Linked DNA regions of Drosophila melanogaster. The protein of the gene in region 1 interacts with the protein of each later gene in a pairwise test. Each region holds a gene or a part of one and is shown on either strand. Other genes may lie near its edges.

Region 1 (3,755 bases):
TCATAGACACCTCTGACACGATGATATCCATCTGGCGACGCAACTTACGAAGCGTTGCCATGAGCTGCTCAGGATCACGATGTATGCCCACCCAGCAGCCGTTCACAAAGATCTTTGTAGCATCAGCGATGGCAGAAGGAGCAATTTCCTCCAGGTTTTCCATAGACCACTCCTCCAAGAACTCCAGAATGGGAGAAGGTTGTGATCCCACAGAAATGTAAGCCATGAGCGCCAGGTTCTTCACCAGACCAACAGCTGCTCCCTCAGGAGTTTCAGCGGGACACAACATACCCCAAAGAGTATTGTGCAACTGACGAGGTTTGGCCAGTTTACCGTCTCTGCCAATTGGCGAATTCACACGCCGCAAATGGGAAAGAGTAGAGGCGAAGGTCAAGCGATTCAACACCTGGGAGACACCGGCTCTCGCCTGATGCGCCTTCTTCTGGTCGCCCCAATTGCCAGTGGCCAAGGAATACCTTAAACCATCAGTAATAATATTAGTCTTGATGGCCAGTTCAAGGTTGAAGTCCTTTCCGCGATCGATGAACTTCTGTGTGTACATGCGCACCTCTTTCATCAGGTTTTTGAACAGACCACGGAAGAGGAAGGCCAGGAGGGGTCCAGCGAGATCAAGTCGCTTGTTTCCATAGTGATCTCGATCATCGAGTTCTCTCCTGCCCAAAGAGGCTAAGAGCAGCCGGTGAACCATGTAGCCCAAAAAGTATGCCTTCTTGGTCTCGCAGAAATCGGATACTCCAACGTGGGGCAGCATTTCCTTTTGCAAAATTTCCTTAGCGTACTTTATACGCTTGTCTTTTGTGACTCCGGGACGTGCTCCTCTAGCTCCAATGAAATTCAAGGCAACATTCTGCTCTTGGACTACAAAAGCCTCGTCCAGAGAAGGTTTCACCATTTCCATCATCTCGGGATCGTCGAAGTCATAGATGATATGCTCCAGAATATCGCGATCGGCCACGAAGCCCAATGCTCGAAACACAATCATAATGGGTATCTCCTGTTTGATGTACGGTAAGATGGCAATAATCCTCTGACCAATGGCTGACTTTTTTATGTTTTGCGATCCTCTTGCCATCATGTTTACCCACAGTGTAGACGTGGGTCTGGAACTGTGCTCCAAACACGACCGAATCTCAGTCTTAAAGGCATACTTGCCATCTTTCATGCTGAACACGTACACTGTGTTGGTGGCCATTTTCTCTTGGGCAATTAGCACCTTCTCGGAGCCGTTGATGATGAAGTAGCCACCGGGATCCAACGGGCACTCGTTCAGCTCCGTAAGATCACGATCAGTAAGCTGTGATAGCAAACAGTACGTTGATCTCAACATGATGGGAATCTTGCCTATGAAAGTCTTTTGATGCTGCGTTTCCACGGGATCCAGGCCCTCGACATTCTTGGTTTTCGTAATGTCCACGTAGAGAGGAGCGGAGTAAGTTAGATTTCGCAGGCGGGCCTCGTTCGGCATCATAGGACTGGGCGAACCATCCTTTTCCCAATGTGTTGGCTTGGAAAGATAGATTTGCTCGAATTTCAGCGAGAATCTGGGCGGGGTTTCCACCTCTCCGGATGTGTGCTGCGCTTCCGCCTGCAACTCAATGGCGGGGGAATCCTCCACAATGCGCTGCACCGACATCTGAATGAACTCATCGAAACTGTCCAGCTGCTGCCGCACCAAGCCCTTCTCGTCGAAGTACGCGTTAATCACGATCCAGCAGGCTTCCTGCCACAGCTCGTGAGAGATCTCCTCGGCATTCTCCTCCTCGTACAGTTCTGCAAGATGTTATTTGACCATTGAAATTCATTGCTAACAATGCGGAGCCCTAGCGCTCCAGCCGCCATATTAATTTTGGTACACGCCAACGTGCATGCACAAATTTTCGCAATTCATTTTACTCACCTTCCTCGTTGTCGTACATCATGATTTCAGTTTTCTAAAGTGCAGAAGCACTTTATGCGTTCAAGTAAATAACAATAAATTGGATTTGCAATGAATTAAATTGTAAAAACGTAGAAAATTTCACAACAAATGTTTGCCGACAACGCGATTAGCGGCGTTGTGCTGTGTTGGTAAACGGCAAAAGCAAAGCACAAGGTGCAGTTCATAAAGTTATAGCAAATACTTGTAAACACAATAAAATTGTTTTTGGCAACAAAATAAATTTAAAAGTGTGAATGATATAAGAAAAAAATATATGAACAACTAAATGAGTATGTAACTTAAATTATTATAATAATATAATTTTATTAATAACAAACGCATTTAAATTAAAAACAATTAAACCGAGAGTTTGCCAACACCAATGACACGCACACTTTCCAACACTAACAGACCGGCAAACAGCTGAGATTGTTGTACTCGTTTTACTTGGTTATTTAACACGCTTAAAAAATGAATTTTCTGTGGAAAGGACGCCGGTTTCTGATCGCAGGCATCCTGCCAACATTCGAAGGCGCCGCAGATGAAATAGTCGATAAGGAAAACAAAACATACAAGGCCTTTCTGGCCAGTAAACCACCAGAGGAAACAGGACTGGAGCGCCTCAAGCAAATGTTTACAATCGAGTAGGAAAACTAAGAATTCCATTTATACTAAAATCTACTGACCGTACATAAACATTTAAATAGCGAGTTTGGCAGCATATCCTCCGAGCTTAACTCGGTTTACCAGGCCGGCTTCCTAGGATTCCTTATTGGAGCTATTTACGGCGGAGTTACACAATCGCGCGTGGCCTACATGAATTTCATGGAGAACAACCAGGCCACAGCATTTAAATCGCACTTTGATGCCAAGGTAGGTATCTACGTATTATCATTTAAATATGTTATAATCAAGTTTTTAATCATAATTACAGAAAAAGCTGCAAGATCAATTCACAGTCAACTTTGCCAAAGGCGGCTTCAAATGGGGCTGGCGAGTGGGACTTTTTACCACATCCTACTTGTAAGTTCAGCAACACGAATTCAAATCTGTATCTGTGTGATACAAAAATGTGTTCCTTACAGCGGCATCATCACTTGTATGTCGGTGTACCGTGGAAAATCCTCAATCTACGAATACTTGGCCGCTGGTTCCATCACCGGCTCGCTTTACAAAGTGAGTCTTGGTCTGCGGGGCATGGCGGCAGGTGGAATCATTGGAGGTTTCTTGGGCGGCGTGGCTGGTGTGACGTCGCTGCTGCTGATGAAAGCATCAGGGACCTCGATGGAAGAGGTTCGCTACTGGCAGTACAAATGGCGACTCGATCGCGACGAAAACATTCAACAGGCGTTCAAAAAACTGACAGAGGACGAAAACCCAGAGCTTTTCAAGGCCCACGACGAGAAAACATCCGAACATGTATCGCTGGACACGATCAAGTGAGTCCTGAGGACTTAAAGAAGACGCCAGTGTGAACTTAGTTACTTTTTTTAATTTAAATAAATTGCATATATGTCCATCTAAAGTTACATAGACAAGAATACATTTAAGGAAGCCCACTTTGGCGGCTGCTATGCGATGTTTCAGTTGATGCCTAGTGCCTCTAAAGATATCGACTGACGTACGGACACATATAGACACGGGATAGACACAACACAAAAGAAATAAACGATTGGATACAATAAATTAAATGCTCTGCTAGGAAACAGTACGTAGAAGGGCGATAAACAGAATTGACTCGGTGGGATCGGGATTCAGACTTAGTCCTCTGCGGTGGGACGCGTGAGGCGCTTGGCGCCTCGGTTTGGTGGCCCCT
Region 2 (3,755 bases), on another chromosome or scaffold:
CGCAGTCCCGACGCCAGGGGCGGATTGTTCAACGCTGCAGCGATTGGTCCTTGAGCATATTGAGGGGCAGCTCCTACTGGCCTTGGGGATGCAGTGCGCGAAGAGTTCGCACTGGACGCCCCATTGCTGCCGTTCGTAAGGGGTGGTCCGTTGGCGGCGGGCGGACGCAGATGGGGCGGCAGCGTGCTGGGCGGCAGTTGCTGCAGAGGTGTAGCTGCTCCTGACGTGGGCGGCAAGAACTGGTTCGTAATACCACTGTTGAACTGCTGCGGCGGTGGCACATTACCTGGCGCTCCTGCTCCCGGAAAAGCTGCTGCAGGAGGTGGTTGCTGGAACTGTTGTGGCTGCTTCTGTGGTATATACTGCTGACCAGGTGGAGGACCTGGCTGCTGCTGGACGCTTCCTTGCACACCATTCACAAAATTGTTTCCGTTCAGTGGCATAGGGGCGTGGGCGGGAGGCACGAAGTTCGGATTGTAAGTCGACATGCTGCTAATTCATAGGTTTGTGGTCTGAAAGATGAAGAATTACATTTTGTTTAGTTGCTATCTTATCACTAGCGAAGGTTGCGTTGCTGCCGACATGAAACAGGGAATTATCTTATCGTTCAATGTTAAAAAGCGCGTAACATGAAACAATGTGCGGCTGATAAAAGTTGTAAAGTTTTAAAGCGGGATGCTTTTCCCCGCTTACAGACAGTTTAGAATTTGCAGTGATCGAATGGAATGCGAAATTCTGCGTTATTGGAGCTTTATCACAAACTTTTAAGCTAGACTGGCTGCCTAGGTAAATGTCTTGATTCAGTGTTTACAGAACTGTGTCTACGTCAACAGTAAGTCGGAAATAGGGTGATAATTTCATATCATATTTTGCTGTTTAAACAGCTTCGACAGCAGGTCGTTATGGGTTATTATGTGATGTACAACGTGTAAGTGTGCGTGCCTCAAGCACTTGACCTCGCCATCAATGATCGCAGAAGGTGGGTCGGTTAAATTGGTGACCCAGATGCAGTGGAAGCAATCAGGAAGAGAAAGGATTTGTCTCCGGAACAAAGCAAATTTTTGATGACGTGCCTATTGGCGAAGTCAACCCGCCACGCCCACCACCCACTCAAAGAAATTGGGGCAATCAAGGCATATGTAGTGCCCATAACACGGTTACCAATCACTTATCACCTTCCCGAGCTTCAGTTTTCATTGGCATGAAGTTCCTCGGCCAGCACTTGCACTTTGTAGTTGCCTCTTCTTCTTGCGCCCTTGATTGGCGATTTTGCTGCGGACTATGAATTAGCTTTTCCGCCTTTCGTTGTGAGGAAAGGGCGGATGCAGCTGTAAAAACCACTGGTTGTACTCTTTGTTCTGGTCTTTTGTGAAATCCTTGGCTGGATTTTTCTCCGCGAACGAAAATTAAACGATTTTCGCACTTCCCTACGCTCTCTCCACTCCCAAAACTTCCTTCCGCACTAGTTTCTTTCTTACACGATTTCAAGCGCTCCTCGCGTGCTCCGGATGGATGCGAACACGTCCTATATTGGCAGGCGGATTCTTTGGACTTGGCGTCGTACGCTGCTATGCACAATTAACTTAAATGCAAACTTTTTGCATTTTCCGGAGAACAAAAAATTTTGAGGCCACGTCAATAGTGTGACCGTTGGTTTTAAAAAAGAGATGACAGTGCTCTGGGTCGCCTATCGATTGCAAATAAAATGTTATCGATACCAATGGTAACATTATTTTTGTAACAATTCAAATTTAAAACTTAACGCAATGTTTATTAAGTGAAGACAAGCAATGTATATTATATATAACTCTGTTAATGATATGAGCTTAAATGTTCGTAAGCCCGAAATCCAAAATCCATTAAAACTGCTTAAAGAACAAATCGCTTTATTTGCAATATTTGTATCTGCTTGGGAGTAGCTCAATTTCTCAATTAACACGTTGGTTAAAAAGAAAATCGCAAAAATATATACAAGTTTCCCCGGGCTTGGATATAAGTTCCAATTAATGCCATTGGGATTACAATTCTTTTATTCTACGGGGTAACTAGTTCGTTAAATATTACTTTAAATCAATTTCGAAGCGTATTTACTTTATTCGTTTCATTTTGCGTTAACTTTGCGTGAGAGTAGTCGGTAGATTTGCTGTGTGGGTGGTGTTGCTTCCTGGCTCGTAAGTTATAAAGTTATAAATTAAATTTAATGTCTATTATTCAACGTGTCTAGGAGTTCGGTTTTCAATTGGGTTCTATTGCAGTAAGGTGTAAAGGTGTGTCACCAGCGGACTCTTGGTAAAGCTTTATTGTTATTATTGTGACAAGTGGAATTCGAAACATAATACTAAAGGTAATCGTATTTGATTTATAAGCTATGCGACTGGAAAATCATTGTGCACCGTGTGTTCTATGTCCGTGTGTCTGTCCTGTGGTCTTGGAAAGAAGCGAGGGTGCAGTATCTGTCGGATACTAGCGTGTCGGTATTGTATTTCGTCTATAGCAGAGTCTTTTATTTCAAAAATAGAATCTCTATTATCCTTAAGTAACTATCATTTTGTAATCTACAACTTTTGATATATCCCATTATGTATTGGATTTCTTTCTTTGTTGCTAGTTAGTAAATGTTAGTAATGTAAAAGGTATTGAATAGGTGTCATTGTGTTGCAGTTTACTGCGATTGCCTTTGAAACACACTAGTACTTAGTAGTAAATAATAATCGTTAATTCTGTATAGAAACTGTGAGTGTTTGATTTTTCTGTCTCCGCTGAGCTGTCGAGCTTGACTCGCGTTCCAACCTAATGAGCAGAGCTTTACTCCTTTCTTTTTCTCTGTGTATATTATTTACAATTAATAACCAGACCCTGGAGCCTCCATCATGGATCTCCTTCTGCCAGTTCAGTTGTTGCTCTAACTTTTCCTGCATTCGTTACGTTGTATCGTCAGTGTTGAGAGGTTTGCGCACTTGTGGAATTAAACATATAGTTGAGGCTCGTTCTTGATATGATCCATATATATAGACGTTTTTGGTGTTGTTGCTCTCGTTGTCAGTCGGAGGCATTATCTCTTGGCCTCCTTCTCCTGCAGATACATGCGCTGACTCAGCGGCTTGGCGTAGATCCAGTTGTCGCCCACGGGCTTAAAGTGCTGTGAACGAATATTATCTGTTAACTGTTTTACCCTATATCGGGATGACGTACCTTGTGCTCCCAGGCCAGATCGTATTCCTTGCGCACCTTGGCTTGATCACGCTGCTGTTGCTCCACAACGAATTTGGCAGTTGTAGCGCGCTCGATGTCATTGAACCTGTGGAAGAGCAACGAACAAAGAGATTACATTTATCATGACTCGCAATTGGGGGTCAGGAATTAATTGGTATGCTGTTTACTTGAGTCCCGCTGTCACTTCCTTCCAAACGCGTCGCGATTCGTACTCATCCTGCTCAACGATTGGTCGAACTTGTTTCTTAAATATGGGTATGCGATTTACGTCGACGAATACTTCGGTTTTCTAGAAAATTCAAGAGATTCATTCAGATTCACTATGTGGTCAACTGATTGGGATTGGGTGTAATATTAAACACACAGCAATCATATATAAGTACAGATAGCAACAATTTGAATACAACGTTGGACAATCAGGCATAGGATTAATTTGTGGGTTCGATTTTCTAGACAAACAAAGTAAACACACAGAGGAAATGCTCCCGAGCTATTTAAGAGAAAAGCAGAAGAATCGTGGATAGTAAGTAGAGGTCTAGTTG

Evidence for each region. The genes of interacting proteins can lie anywhere in the genome.
Region 2: the proteins of Polr2B (region 1) and Sec24AB interact in a two-hybrid assay, tested with the Drosophila melanogaster proteins (one large-scale study listed by BioGRID).

Annotation. Positions count from the first base shown.
Region 1 is NT_033777.3:14,124,132-14,127,886, reverse strand, and holds the start of Polr2B (RNA polymerase II subunit B), read right to left. Parts: upstream 2,097-3,755; 5' UTR 1,941-2,096; coding exon 1,919-1,940; intron 1,792-1,918; coding exon 1-1,791. Other genes in the region: 140up (upstream of RpII140), read left to right, coding at 2,411-2,583, 2,647-2,812, 2,874-2,962, 3,025-3,382; twf (twinfilin), read right to left, coding at 3,700-3,755. UniProt on the Drosophila melanogaster protein: DNA-dependent RNA polymerase catalyzes the transcription of DNA into RNA using the four ribonucleoside triphosphates as substrates. Second largest component of RNA polymerase II which synthesizes mRNA precursors and many functional non-coding RNAs.
Region 2 is NT_033778.4:9,880,705-9,884,459, forward strand, and holds the start of Sec24AB (secretory 24AB), read right to left. Parts: upstream 1,654-3,755; 5' UTR 1,479-1,653; exon of another isoform or gene 692-1,478; intron 513-691; 5' UTR 489-512; coding exon 1-488. Other genes in the region: CG1513 (uncharacterized protein), read right to left, coding at 3,053-3,139, 3,193-3,298, 3,381-3,502.